2 linked regions of the Stegostoma tigrinum genome follow. The protein of the gene in region 1 interacts with the protein of each later gene in a pairwise test. Links are inferred from orthologs where the notes say so. Each region holds a gene or a part of one and is shown in the gene's direction. Other genes may lie near its edges.

Region 1 (8,021 bases):
AGAGTGACAGTGATCTGTTGTGACTCACTTGTTTTTCATTCTTCCTTACGACAAACCATTCAGTCTATGCCTTCTGCCTTCCTTTGCCAGTCAAGATGTTGGCTTTTTTATGCAATTTGAGACAATCTGTGGAATTGGACTGTGAGATGTTTTGTGACAAAGCTTTTGTCTGCTACACAGCTTTGCATTTAATAAGTTCAACTATGCAACTGTGAACTGAAAGTCTCAATAATTATAGATTAATGACAAATCTTGGGGTCCAGAAAACATATTTAAATGCAGAGTAGTCCTTGATAAGACATGCATACATTGTAGGATATCAGTTTTTAAGAGCAATAGATTTCCATACAAGGCACTGAACTTTGTGCATCAATGTCTGTGACTCAATAACTCATCCTTATAAGATGCATGGCATTAGGAGGCTTATACTTGAATATACATAGACCTACAGCTCCAATGTAGAAAGTTGTTTACATTACAAGAGTTCAGAGCAAATCTACTTCTTTAGTTGCCATCAAATTCAGGTGCTCTATTATTGAAACACTTGTACATGCTTTTGTGATCCAGAAACCTGACTATTCTAACAGTCTTCTTGCCAAACTCCCACATTATATTCACTAAGTTCATCCTCCCATATGAAGTTCTCTTACTCTCTGCACAGCTGCTTGCTGATTGATCTTAATCTGCTAATGTCTCAAATTTAAAATCCCATTTCCAGTATTTTGGAGACTCAGCCCTCCATATCTCTAAACATTCCACATCAAGCTCTCTGAACTCCTCTAATTGTAGACCATTCTGCAATCCAAATTTTCTTTGCTCCATCATTTTTGGGGCATATCTTCAGTGTTCCCCTTCTAAACCTAGTGTCTCACTACATTCTTCCCTTTTAGGTTGCTCCCTAATACTTTATTAATGACAAATTTTTTTGATTACCTACCCTAGTATCTGTTTGTGACAGTGTCAAATTATGTTTAATCATGCTCACATGCAGTGAGTTCAAATGTTAATATTTCATTAAAGGTGCTTTGCAAAGGTAACATAATAATTTACTCTGTGTTTTGCTGAAAAACTTTTTTAAATAAGAAAACTACTCCAATTGCATGTTTCTCAGCTTTCCTTAGTATCCTGAAAACAGCATCTTTTATAGATAAAAACTATTTAACATCTTGATAGTAAGTGGGAAAACATAATCTTTGAGGCCTTGTTTAACTGCATACCTAGAAGCAATGATAAAAAACGTTTATTGTCAGAAACTTGATACTGGAGGAGTCCTGTGGGTGGAATTTTTCCTTATGCATAATGGAGGAAGAAAACATTTCAATTGCAAATTGATCATACTTTAGAATTTCAAAACATTTAACTTTTAAATTAAAAAGTACAATAGTACCACTGCAGCATTTTACTGCAAATGCTACAGTTGGTTCAAATAGGTTAATACGCCATGAATTTCATTGTAAACCATAGGGCCAAACTTTCCTTCTGTCAAACGATGTGGACATTGACAAGTCAGTTGGGAAAATATGACAAATTAGAAAATAAGTATTAAAAAGTCAAGAAAAAGAAATTTCTGTCCAGAACTGGAGATCAGAATTACATGTTGTGCTCTCCAGTGTATCCAGTCATGGTCATTGAAGCTCATGGAATGGTTTTTCCATGTCAGACGTCCTTGCAAGTCATGCCTGTGGCGTTGGCACCTTACCATCCAGATTGCAGATACTACTTGAACCAGAATCTCTGCTTTGGATAACTGGAGGGTGTACTGTGGCTATAGGATGGACAATGGGGATCTACGAAAGCTGAGGCATTGCGCCGAGTGAGAACATGAGGATGTTCCTTAGATGGAACCGTGCCTGCAGTATCATACAGCACAGAAGCATTGACCAAATCAATGTAGGCAGGACATTGTTTGTGAATACCATTCAATGAAATTGAGCTGTGCAAAGTCATCTTTCACTGACTGCAAATGATTTATGCTGCTGAGGCCAATATCCCACGTATAATCATGACTGTAAGCGCAGCTTAAAGTTTTGATCCTTCGATGTGACTCATGCTATTTAATAGATGTTAAGGTTACAAATGAATGGAAGCCTTCGCAACATCCAATGCTCCCTCACTGAATTGTGGTAGCTATGGAAAGGACAGCTATCTTTTAAGGATAGCTTGAACATCTTGTGGTGCTAAGGATGGCTAGTTTCTCTGCCTTCATTCTTACAGTCGCTGCTAAAACTCAATTGACTCACCCTGCTGATAATGAAAGGTAATCAACACTTTAAAGGCATCTGGATGGGTACATGAATAGGAAGGGTTTAAGGGGATATAGGTCAAATGCTGGCAAATGGGATTAGGTCAGATTGGGATGTCTGATCGGCGCAGATGACTGAAAGGTCTGTCTCCATTCTATCTGCCTCTATTTACAAATATGATAATGCATTTATAATAAATATCATGTACGCTATTAATATGCCCTTGTAAGGTCTTGTGCCTTTCACTCCTCTACATCTAGATGCAGGCATGGTGTCTGCAGCTGCAGTGAAGTGACAACCCCTTCTTCCACAGTAACTCATATTCTCAAATGCACTATCGTCTGCACTTCTTATATATTGAGATTCTCCCCCATCACAATAATTGTCCTCTTTGCATCCCAGCCAGCAGCATCCAACCTCCACAATTGACAGCCCAACTTTCGTTGACTTGCAATATTGGTAACCTCCAACTACTGTTGTCGCCCTTTAATGAACTGAGGTCTACACTTGTTAGACTTTCAGATATGGTGATTTGGCTGAAGCACATGCAGTGTGTTTGCCTAGTGAGCTGCTGTATCATATTATGGGTGTGACATTGAAATAACACGGTGCTGTACAGGATCATGTCTATCTTTTTGACTCATCACTTCTTACAACTAGGACAAGCTACCTGGTGTTGTGCCTGCACTAAATGGCAAGGCAAGGCAGAAAAACCATCAGCCTTTAAGTTCAGAATGAGTGGGCAATGTGAAAAGAAAACAAGGCAAGCAATGATGCTGTGAGCTTTTAAGTAGATGCAGAGTGAATGGGGTTTAAGAAAGCAAGCAAGGAACCCAGAGATGTTCCCTGGTTTAATTCATGAGATGGGTGCCTGACTCTGCGCTTTTCAAGCAGCGTTACAGTAAAAATTTGGAGTGCAGAACCATATTGCAAGTTAGTTGGATATGTGCCATGCGGATGCAAAGAGATTGGCATGTGACTGATGCCAACCTCTTTGAATTGGCTACGTGGTGTCGATGCCCGTGGAACACGCCCGGAGATGCAGATGACTGATTCCAAGATGGTGGCCTGGAGGAGCATGCAGGTGATTGAGGTTGCCAGATATCTGTTTCAAAGTTCATGTCAGGAATTGTCGCTGTCTAATTTATTTTCGGCATTTAGGAGAACAGGAAATTGCATTTCAATGAGGTAAGATTAGGTGTGATAGCATATTATCGTTATACAAGGTGACCTGTTGCTGCTCACTAGTATGCTTCTTATGTTGTTCAAAACCTGATTGCAGAATCTGATTCCTTTTTCTTGACGTTGAGGATTTAATTTTTGCTGATCTTGCCATATTTTCCCAACTGTCTTGCCAGTGTTCACATCGTGGGGGAGTTGGGGACTTACCACCTAAATTATTATATTATGAAATAGCAACCAAACTGATTTAATTGGTTTAAAAAAATTCTTAGCATCTAAGTTTGAAATGCTTCTCAGCAAACAATGAAGGGTGGCATGGTGGCTCACACTGCCAGGGATGTGGCTAAAATTCCAGCCTTGGGCAACTATCTGTGTGGAGTTGGCACATTCTCCTCGTGTCTGCGTAGGTTTCCTTCAGTTGCTCTGGTTTCCTCCCACAGTCTATAGGTGTGTACGGTGGGTGGATTGGCCATGCTAAATTGCCCATAGTGTTCAGGAACGTGTAGGTTAGATGGAATAGTCATGGGACATGAAGGTATACAGGGACAGTTTAAGTGGATACGTCTGGATGGGATGCTCTTTGGACAGCCAGTGTAGACTAGTTGGGCCGAATAGCCTGCTTCCACCCTGTAGGGATTCTATGAAGTTTCACTCACTGGCATCCTTTTAATGAGTCCTGATGTGAGATTCACATAAATGAGAATTAAAATTGAAACTTTGCCACCAATAAAATGCAAAATCACATTGGTCAATAATTTCACCAAAAAGCATGCCTTTAAAATTGGACCAACGATAAAAAGGTTTGTTTCTGCTTCTTCATTCAGCCTATATAAGACAAAATTTACACAAGCACAGAAATTCAACGGCTGAACATTACTGCCACCTGCAGTTTTCTCAGAATCATTGACAATTGACAACATAATTCTAAATACAATAGGCTAGCTACCGAGTCTACCATACCAGTAGACCCATGATTATGCTATTGTGGAGTGTGAACAAATATCTGAAGGATCATTTGCTCTTTCCTAACTTCAAGCCAGATCACCATTGAGACAGCATGAGGGTGAGTAAGATACATGATTCCAAATAAGATGAAATTCATGTATGGTGGATTATTCCTTAAAAATTTCAAAAATTTGCTTTGTTTTCTATTATGAGAAGATATTTATGACTGAATCATTACTATATTTGAGATTATGAATATATAAAAGATAATATTAATGGCAATTTCAGATTTTTTCTTGTCTTAAAATTGCTGCCGTGAACATTTATGGCTTCCTGTTTTCTTGTCTTTTACAGAATCTTAGCACTACTCGTAATGTAGAAAACACACAGCACCTGTTTAGGTAAGAATCTATTCAGCTAAAATACAAAGTAATTAATGTAGGAACAAACTATCCCCAGAACACTAGGTGATGCTCTAGCACTGTTGTTGCATCAGGATAATGTAACATCTCATGCTTTGTAAAGGAAATAAAGCAGCTATGATAGAGAGGCTGATGTATTCCAGCTATCCTGGTTGGATTGTGATCTGTCAGTCAGCCTTTTATCCCCAACCCTATTCACTTGTCCAAGGGGTTGAATGCCGAGGTTGTTGGTGGCTGCTTGTACTAGATCTGGCGGTTGAGCAAAAATCAGTATGAATCTCACCCGAGGGACTATGAGGATGCCCTGCCTAAGTGTGTCAATGCAATAGTCATGTGGCTGTGAATAACAGCAAGCTCTGATCATGAGAGGAGGAAATCTTCAAGCAACTAATGTGCTTTTTTTCACCTGCAGTCTCCTTGATTCTTGTTTAACTGTTAATTTTGGATTATCTTCGGCATCTTGTATTCATCACTACTTCCTGAAAAAGTCAACATAGAGCTAGGAGCAGCATCACTTCAGCTTGAATAAGGACTCACTCTGGAGATAGGAAACCTGGCAGATTTGTTTTAAATCAGCAAATCAAAAGTTGTGAATGGATTTTATTTGGTCTGACCTGAAAAAAAATCACCTGATGCCTATTAATTCGGTTCTAAGGACAATATTAAATATTGATTAATTAAATATCTTCAAATTAATCAAGTTTATATTAGATAATATTTATGTTTCACTGACAGAAAGATGTTTTTGCTTTCAAAAAATTCTACAAATTCAGATGGTAAAATAATGGTGAGAAGGTTTCTTGTAACCTTAAGGCCTTTCAGGTAAGTTTACCTTCAAGTTTTGTTTTCAATTACACATATAAAATAATTTAGTATTGATGATTGATATGACTTGTGTGGAACACTTGTGATCAATGCTTGTGTCAAGCAAAACTTACACTTTAATCTCATTGTAACTGCTGCTGGTCTAGATTATATGGTTATGAATCTCAGTTAATGTTTGTCATTTCAGTATAAAGACAGCTTTCCATGCTGGCAACACTTACAGTATTTACGTTTGCAATGCTCTGGGACCACCCTAATTCAAATGATGCTTTCTATTCAATGTAGCAATTGAGTTTGAGATGAATCTATGAGAGGCAGACAATACCATATTCTCTGTTTTTCATTCGTGGAAAGTTACATTTAAAACATAGAGGGTAAGGTGTGGAGTTGTGGCTGATGGGTGCGGGCACCAGGAGACGGCTAGTCACATTGAAATCACTCACCTTCCCACTATGAGATGCCACATGTGTTTCAGAATACATCCTGGTGTGATTGATCTTGTTTCTCCATGCTATTTCCATGGGGTCATGGTGTTAAGTACATGTTCAAGGATATAGCTAGGGCCGGGGGAGGGGATGGAGCTTGACGTTTGTTCAGTAACAGTTAAAAATACAAATCTATAAAATATCAGTGTATGAAATGTTACGTAAATATGTAAACTGATAATCTTGCAAAATCATTAAAACTGAATTTCAGAAAGGGTACATTTTAAAATATTGGTCGTAATTACATTGATATTAATTACAGTAATTTGCATGGCAAAACAAGAATGCTTTCTTCAATTGATGAACTTTGTGAAGCAATTGATTAATCTTGTGTTGCAAATTCACCGCATACAGCTAGGAACATATTCAAAAAGGATGCTCTAGAGTGTTATTGTTATTGTTGAACAGACATTTCTGTTTCTGTGTGTTGATCTGAAATTTAAGAGGACCTGTTTAACAATATCCAAATGATAGAGAAAAAGATGTGTATTTCATATTTAAAAGAAAATGCAGAAGTTGACCTAATTATTATTGCCAGAAATTTAAAATTGTAGAGGCAGGAATTCACTGCTTTTAGGGAAAGTACTTCTGGGAAACAAAATACATAAATAAGAGAATGTTCCTGTACCTTTTGATGACTTTCAGCCTCACGTACTTAATACCTACATATTCTTCAGGAGCTGGACTTGATCTAATTTCATTGTCAACATGTGGTACAGTGACAAAAGTAATAGGATCACCGTTATACCAGAGTCCTTCTAGGGTAGGCATAGAAGCAGACATATGTCAGAATAAATAATTTGGGGATGTGCTGCTACACAATCCCTCTCATTTTTTAAATTGCTCACCTACTTCATCTCCTGCCTGAAAGCCAACAATTAAATGTAGGGCTAGCCTAGAATGAATCTAAGCCTAAACATTGATTAAATAAATGGTACTGTTCATTTATTGCTTAGTATCAAACATAAAATGTGTTTTCTTAAAATATGTTAGAAATAAGTTGCCACCTCAGAAGCATTATGCCAATTTTTAAGATTTAGTATATGTGCATGGACAGCAGAAGTACATCTATTGTTCTTACTACATTATGCCGTTCAGCAGGTCACATAGTACCACCATGCTGTTGAATCCAATTATGAGTTACTAAGTTAGAATGAAGTATGGTCATACTTTTAAGCAAACAGTCAAAGTGTACAAGTGAATAAAGTAAAATTGTAAATTGACAACAGTATACGTGTAATCAAGTATACAATATAGAACACATTATATTTCTAGTATTCTCATATACTAGCTAACTATAAAGCAAAAACTTGTACGTTAGTCTGATATGCTCTCTGCTTGATTCTAGGTTATTTGTGGCTGGAATTGGATTCTTCACCCTCTGTTTTATAATGACCTCCTTTGGCGGACAGCTTACAGGCAAGAGAGTGGGAGACTCACCTTTTGGCATTAGACAATTAGGTAGCAAATCTGAAGGTAAATGTAGCTTTATGTCAAGTGCCATTACATTAACCTATTTACTGCTATCCATCTCTGAAAAAATTAAAAGAACCTGGACATACTCCAGCAAATTTGTCAAACGTGATTTCCCTGTAACAAAATCTTGTTGATTATGTTTTATTGCATTAAGCTTTCGTCAATGCCCTGCCATTTCTTCCTTAATAATGCGCTCCAGCATTTTCACAATGACAGCCATTAGGCTAACTTGACTGTAGTTTGCTAGTTTCTTTTTGGGATTTGGGGAACAAATTCCAGCCCAGAGCCACTGATACTTTTGCCATTGACCATAGGTGTGAACAATCTGAATCTCTTCCCAGTAAAACAACAGTGATCCCTTTGAAAAGGGTGAGTGATCACCCAATACCAAGTAATGCCTTAGGAGTAAGTTGTCTTGATCAAAATGAACAATTTTTATTCAA
Region 2 (8,098 bases), on another chromosome or scaffold:
GAAAGCAAATGAGCACACTATGATATAACTTTAAGACAATTTGCTCTTTCTCTCTCAAAGTCATATAATCTGATACCGTTAAAGTTTCTGTAACATTCTGTCTAGAAATACTGTGCCTTTTTATGAGTATGCAACAATGCTCTATTTGGGTAACCTGCAAATTCACTGATTTTCTAAAGAAAATTGGTTTGACATGTTCCATATCCAGTTCAATTTTTGTCGTTTTCCAGGAAGGCTCACTCAACAGCGATGGTATCTCATTAGAAATTGCATCGGTACTAATAAAGTACTAACAGTGCACCTTTCTATGTGATAGAGGTAATGGGTTGGAAAATACTGTTGAAGTAGAATAGGTAAGTTGCTGCAGTACAGTTTACATTTGGGTCATTGTATATCAGTGATGGAGGAAGTGAATATTAAAGTTAGTGGATGGGGTGCCAATGAGGTGGGCTGCATTTAGTTAGCTTGTACATGACACCTGGGTGTCTCTGGCTTGGCCAGTATTTTTGCCAGTCCATCCCTAAATACTTAGTGGGCAGTTAAGGGTCATTGCTATGAATCTGGAGCCACATGAAAGCCAGACAACGTAAGAATGGCAAAGTTTGCTCCCTGAAGAAAATGAATGACTGAAATGGGTTTTAAGTAGTTAAATGATCACCATTTGGCTAGCTTCCAATTCCAGATTTTATTGAATTCAAATTTCACCACCTACCACAGTCAAATTGGAATCCAGGTACCCAGAACATTAGTCTGGGTTTCTGGATTACATGTCCAAAAATGTTACCATCATGCCACAGCCTCCTGATCATTACACCACCAGCTTCTGCTTTGTTGCAATGGTGCTTGACTTGTTAAATGGTAAATATTCCACGCATGACTGACTGTGTTTTGTAGATGTTGGAGAGGTTTTCAGGATTCAGAAGGTCAACTATTTGTCCTAGAATTCCCAGTCTCTGACCTGGCTTTGTAGCCAAAGTATTTATATGGTTGGTTCGGTTAATTTCTGGCCAGTAGTAGCCCCAGGATATTTATAGTCAGGGATGCTGGAGATGGTCATGGCCCGATACTTATGTCCCACTAATGTCATCTGCCACTTGTCAATCTCACAGCTCTTTGAGGGATAACCTTCCAGATTTCCACTACATTGTGTTTAGAAGTATTTTCTAAAGTTACTCCTCAATGGCCACTCTAATTTTAAGGTTATATCCTGGCTATAAACTCTCCCACTAGAGGAAAATGTTTATGTATTTAACGTATCCTTTAAACACTTGAATCAGATAACTTTTTACACTTAAATGCCTGGACTTCGCAGTCAGTCCTCATAACTTAATCATATTTACACAGGTATAATTCTGGTAAACCAGTGCTGTACGTGCTTTAAGCCCAATAAATACAGCTTGAAAAGCCAGAAAAGAATGCAGTAATGTGAATAGGGTCTAACCAAAATCCCACACAACCATCACAGAACTCCCAGCTCTTTACATTCTAGCCCTCTTGAGATACTTTCATGCCATTAACTTTTTTTTATGATGCTCTCATAATGTTAAAAGCCATTGCACAGGTTTGTAGATATCAAAGAGACATTGTTCACCAAGACACTAGACTGCCTGAACATATGTCATTCTCTTTGTAATTGAAGGGTAGCAAATTAACTGGAAAAGATGATAGAATATGTTATAAGAGCTGAAAATTGTACTCTTAAGAGAAAGAATTAATGCTATTAACTGTTCATTTTGAATTCTTAAAACGATCATTATTACTAGAACAAAATACTGATGTGGCAATACGCATCATGTATTTATTTTTCAACTGGCCAGCCCAAACAAAACAGTCAGTCAAAGAGGGAAAGGTTATTCTATTACCCTTCACCTTCTGATCAATACAAATGTTCACTAAAAGAATCTACAGAGGTCTCCTACAGGTAAGGTTTGTGCACTAAAATACCAATATGTGTACAAATAGTTACCCTGGTTTCAAATTTAGACAGCTATCAATTTAAACTTTGGAATTGCATTTTTTCCAAGCTGAAATAAAGACTACAATTTTGAATTATCTCATGTACCTGGTAAATCGAAATTCTAAAAATATAACGCAAACATTGTTGTGCTTGGTACATTAAAACACCTGATCAGATATTTATTTCTGTATCGATATAACAACAAATACTTTTGATTTAAAAGTGGAATTATTGAAATGACTGATGGAAGCATGTGACGAAGGCATATATCATGTGCAAAATTTCCACGATCTAACTCAGTTTATGTTAACCTTGAGTAATACCTGTGTCAGACTGAGTGGCGTTCGGCAGTAATGAAGTGTTAGGCTAAATTATGGAACTGATTCTAAAGCTAGTTTCTTAACGTTTTTTCATAATACTCAGTATTGTGTAAAGAAAGGAACTTAAATTACTGCAGAGTCAAAACTACAAACTGGATTTTTTTCAGGTGATTGAAAAAAGCGGTAAAACCTTACAATAAAAAAAGGCTGTTGTGAAACTACAAACTCTTTAAGGAGAACTGCAGAAATGTGGTAGCGTTTTCACATTTACGTCCCTTCAATCACTTTAGTAATGAGGGCAGGACTTTGGGTTCTTGAAGGAAAAAGAGTTGGCTGTCTCGGCTAGTTGGCCGTATATGTTGAACGAGACTATAGGGGTGCGTCTGCTCTACTATCGAGTGAATTTATCAATTTAGTTGACTTCCTTAATAACTGCCGCCCCGGTGCATTCTTCGCTATAAAATCCACAGTAGGGACGAAGTTCTCAGCCTCACATCAGACTGGAAACGTTCCTTTTGTTTGTGCCTCCACGGATGCTGCCAGATCTGCTGATTTTTCCAACATTTTCAACACAAATAGATAATGAAGCGAATGAGTTAGGAGTCAACCATCCCTGGAAGTAGCAACTCTGTTAGCATGGGAAAATTAGGGCAAAGCCCAGATTCGTTATTTGCAAACTCCACGTTAACATGCCAACAGAGCAACTTAACCGGTTGGAATTTAACAATTATTCACAGATATAACGAAAAAGTCTGAAATACTCCACAGGCCAGGCAGCATTCGTATACACAGATGTTTCAGGTAGATGCCATTTAATCACATCTCGAAACATTTCTCAGTTCTAAGAAAATGCTTTTTCTGTCGTCACAGATGTCTGATCTGCTAAGTATTTCTAACATTTCCTTTTCTTACATTTAGTCATGCGTAGTTTGTGCATCCAATTGGGAGTAAAGTAACGAATGTTTATATTATTTACTGTTCTAACAGTGTGCGAATGATGTGGGATCGTTTAACCCGAGCAAGTTCTGGATACCTAGTTAAATACAATATTCCCTGGACCAAATACGCTGTGATTCTGGTTATCATTACGGGCAAGACTACGATCGAATCACCTGCCTCACATTTCAGGTTTTATATTTGAAGTCAAATTATCTGGATCCACATGAAGGATTAAACAGTCTGACCAATAAATTCGCCTTTACTAATGACCACTTACCATTTAATATCTGAATTCTGATTCTGGCCAGTTTTATCTACCTCTTTAACCTCAAGGAGATCCTGGGTTAGCCCAGCGTTTTCAACTAAAAAAAAACCGATGGATTAAAAGTAAGTCCTTTTCAGAGAGACTTAACCAATGATCTCCAGGTGAACAGAGAAATAAAACCTATTGAATTATGGTGATTTTTGAAGTAAATGATATCGTTGATCTCTCGGCGAAAGGCCACTTAAAATATCATATTGAAAAGTAGCAGGTGGTGAGGGAGAGTAGCAAAGGTTAACGAGCTAAAACGAAACCAAGTGACAAAACAACGATTGTATTCCAACACCACGGAGCTGTTACATTCCGAACGTAAACTTTATGTACCTTCAAATAATTACAACGAATGCGTTTATTCAAATTAAGAAACTAAGTGAAAAGACTCAAGTTCTGTGCACAACCAAAATTGAAAAGTGACAGTGAGTGACACTAAATTGAGCTTTTTAAAAAACCTGAAGAATGCAGGAGGAATGGAACGTGGAGTTCGCCAGTTTAGTCATTTCGGGGCAGAATGAGTTGCAGTAAGCAATGAACGAACCTTGATTTCAGCAGTGAGGATGAAGGGAGGGGGTGAGAGGCGCAGGAGGACAATGTCGCTGCTCAGTAGCAACCAAGGAGCAAAGACTGAAGTAACAGAAAAAAGACAAGCTGCTAAGCAGAGAGGGTTGAGGCAGATAGGGAATTGTGCGTCAGACATGCTATCCCCACCACCCCCGGCCACTGGCAGCCCTCCCTCCCCTAAAACCACCAACACCTTGTTTCCAACGTACAAGTGCTTAACGCACTTTATCAATAATGCTTTCAAGCCTCTTTCATATGCCCTCGAATAAAGTTTCATTTTGTTTGACTTCAATCAGACGATGGCTTAGTTCCCAGAGGAGCACTTTCTCACGGGTTTCAGGTGTGTTGTTTCCATGTATGTGAAATCATGCGGCATAAATTCTGCCACTTCGAATCAGCGTTGTTTCTTATGTATGAATTAAATGTTGCAGAAGGAAGTGACTGCATGCAGTGTCCAGTGCAGGGATTGTCCAGAGAATATGGATATAAGGTGAAGTATCGTGGCAGATAACCCGAAGAACACGTACGTGTCCAAGTTTAACCAATGCATTGATTAGCCCTCAGTTCCATCTCAAAATGAGATAACTAGCTCCTTCTTCCCTTCCACATTTTAAAGACAAAGTCCAGATATACAAAAACGTTGCGCAAAACTGATTTACTTTAGGGCCAAATGGAAATCGATATCCCATACCATTCTTAGTTTAGTTAAAAATGAAGTGAAAATTGACAATTCATAATATATATTTTGGAAGTGGGGTACATCCATTTTATAAGAATTGGGAAGTCTAATTGTGAAAGGGGATCTCTATGAAGTGATCCATTAGCTCTATTACCTCGCTTCCAGCTCCCTCGTTTATTTTTAATCCCTTTTGAATGGAGTGCGCCCCGCCCTATCTCGGCACCTATGTCACCTCCTCCAAACACTTGAAATCTTTTAGAATTGTTTGATTGTGGAGTTGCTTTCAACTCTTCTCAAAGAATGAAGGGGGAGAGGTTTGCGGAGGAAAAATGATTTTCAATCCTTTCACACAAGTCGTTTCACTTGATTGACTTGAAATAACTGCTTTATAAAACCGAGGCGCTGCAGCTGGGATACGCGCTCCCGCTCTTGAACTCAGATTTGCGTTTGCTCCCGTGCGATTTTCACCTTTGAGAAAGGAATTGAGGGGAGCATCGAACCTCTCGTTGTTAAAAACACAACTTTAGAGTGATTACCATGAATAGCTATGGTGCTCCATATCTGTACGTACCCACCGCGTCTTCCCGAGCACCAGCTCAGCGAACTCCCAAGTGCGCACGGTGCCGGAATCACGGGGTGTTGTCCTGGCTTAAGGGCCACAAACGCTACTGCCGCTTCAAAGACTGCACATGTGACAAGTGCATCCTCATCTTGGAAAGACAGAGAGTCATGGCCGCGCAGGTGGCTCTCAGGAGGCAACAAAGCAACGAGAATCCTTGCAATCTGGTTTTATCTGAGGATTACAGAGCAATGTATCCAGCCCCCGAGAGATTCGAGGGCTCGGCTCCTTCCGATAGCGTGTACTCAGCCGGCAGAAGCAGACCTGACGAAACGACACCTGCGGATTCCATGCTATCTCAGCGACCGGGTAGGAAATTCACACAGACCAGGGTTTTCTTCGCTCCGTGTACATGAGCGGCGTGAAATTATAGCACACACTGTTTCGCATAGGTATCCCCTCGGCTGTAATAAAGGCAGTGCAGGAATATTCTTGTATTGTTGCAGTCACTCGAAATTAGGCGTCAGGTTTATTTTTTTTAAACTTTAACACCTCACGTGAAATGCTGCGTCGCTTCACGACATTTGTAGTCCTCTGAATTTAAACAGGTATTGTCTTGTTGCATTTCTTGGCAAAATAGCTGAACCGTTGTCTCATTTAAGTATTTTTTCAAACACAGCCAAGCATTGATGGGGACATTATCGGGCCACAGAGATCTTACACTCAAGGAAAGATACTGTGAAACGCAGAGTGGACAAGGTGGTTTACAAAAGGCAGGACTTCACATAATTGACATTCATGCCTCTAGTTTGTTGTATCTATTCCAAAAACGGGACGTGAACTATTCTCGATGTTCCCAGTTTGCTGCAGCTATTTCAGCGGTCGGCAGGTTACTGCTTTCTGTGGAACTATTCCAGGAATGGTGGGAGACTGTGAAATGGGAATGACTTTGCTTCCCGGTAGGGATAAGGATTTCGCAAAATCTACAGCCGACCCATTCGATAGGAACATCGGGTGGGCTACATTTACACCAAACATCAAACAGATGTTTCCATACCACACAGTGCCCGGCTCCTCTTTAAGAGCGCGAATGTCGGAAAATGGCTATTTAGCTATTGAGAATTTAAACCAAACCGCGGGAACGGCGCATACCGAAATGCTGGCGTGTTTAACAAACGCTTTCTAAATATTTGCTTGCTGCCAAATACGTCATTTTTAAAAAAAGTGACCAATTATATTTAGAATTTAATAGCATCCCGTTATGCCTCTTCACCTTCATGTCCCATATGACGATGAGAATAACGGTGTTCAATCAATGAACGTTAGTTGTCACAAAATAGTTGAAAAGGATTTCTTGACGCCGCGAGCATGAATAACCAATGCCCAATAAGCGGCAGGAACAGACTTTGGTTTAGGGAACAAGGAGAAAGAGCAGCACAATATGCAGTGACTGCAACAATCTGGATGCTATTTTAACTGAACAATCATTGTTAAAGCAAGCCATTCTTGTTGTCCCCTTTTCTCTGAACACTGATTATTCTTACTACAAATTGGCTTCCTGCTTGTTTTTCCACGTTCAACAAATCAAAGAGCCGGCTAGTTCAAAGCTATAACACCCTCGTTATGATAATTGCGCACGGGGTGAAAAGGGGGATTGATTTGTTTGGATGCCCCCGCGTTTACCGTTTCAGCCCCAGGGACGTGATTAATCACTACAGAGCACAGGGATTAAGGGATCAAATTGCCTGGTAACAAGTGAAACAGAGAGACCTGCTGCTGGGATAATTTCGACCTATTTCAAAAAGAAATATAAAAATAACCGGCACATTTATAGGCCCGTATTATTCCAATTAAGTCATTCGTGACTACTTCAGGAACATTTGTGTTTAACGTGACATTTACATATCTGAAAAAAATATAAGAAATTGATCCCGATTGACATTTTACTATTAGTTCCTACGACAGCCTAACATTTCTGTATTTACCATTTTTAACACCACACTCAGAAAATGAATGTGTTACGTTTCGGAGTTGTTGGAGTTTTTGTATTTTGATTTAGTAGTTGAAGTTTTAATTAGGGATCATTTTACTGTAGTTCTCAAAGGTTGACGTGTGAAGTCCTTAAGAGGATAAAGGAAGATAAAACAGGTAACCTGTTTTAGCGTGCGCTAGCGATTTATTTATATTTTCACTCAATGTTCCGGTCCATTCTATTGTATATTTAAATGTCCGATATTTCATAATTCACAATATTAAACTTTGAAACAAATGAAAAGTAAATCCTAACCAGCATCTCTGGTTAACAATGGAAAAATAACTGACGAGACTAATTCGGGCAAACACAGAGTTGTTTCATTCCAAAATTTCAAACAAATAGCCGGATAATCTCTGATAGCTTCCCAGCTTCCTGGGCAGGTCTTTCGCCAGGATTTGCAGTTAGGCAATGTCTTATGGAAAACGCAAAGTAAATATGTTTTAGCGTCCTTAGACCGGCAGAAAAACCTTGTTTTTGGTTAAAACACTTGTTAGCAGCGTCATTTTTCCTTAACTAAACACCATCATGCATTTTTCACTTATCAACTTTTATCTATGTCGTAAATGTAATCTTACATTCCAACTTCAAAAGCTGCCGGTCAGCCTGCCTTTACGGCTGTACGTTGGAAACTGTCCCAGTCTAGATATTCTGTTTTCTTGTATGAACATTAAGTGTATTGGTAAACATCTCTAGATGATGTTCTTCAGTCAAGAAAATAATTTTTTTTGG

Evidence for each region.
Region 2: the proteins of alpha-1,6-mannosylglycoprotein 6-beta-N-acetylglucosaminyltransferase B (region 1) and dmrt3a interact in a two-hybrid assay, tested with the Homo sapiens proteins (2 studies listed by BioGRID). The two-hybrid records come from large-scale screens. The link is inferred for Stegostoma tigrinum from reciprocal best matches to the Homo sapiens genes MGAT5B and DMRT3.

The regions. Positions count from the first base shown.
Region 1 is NC_081375.1:32,599,323-32,607,343, reverse strand, and holds the start of alpha-1,6-mannosylglycoprotein 6-beta-N-acetylglucosaminyltransferase B, read left to right. Parts: upstream 1-4,924; 5' UTR 4,925-5,531; coding exon 5,532-5,614; intron 5,615-7,450; coding exon 7,451-7,578; intron 7,579-8,021. UniProt on the Homo sapiens protein: Glycosyltransferase that acts on alpha-linked mannose of N-glycans and O-mannosyl glycans.
Region 2 is NC_081361.1:42,214,377-42,222,474, reverse strand, and holds the start of dmrt3a (doublesex- and mab-3-related transcription factor 3a), read left to right. Parts: upstream 1-5,079; 5' UTR 5,080-5,312; coding exon 5,313-5,703; intron 5,704-8,098. UniProt on the Homo sapiens protein: Probable transcription factor that plays a role in configuring the spinal circuits controlling stride in vertebrates.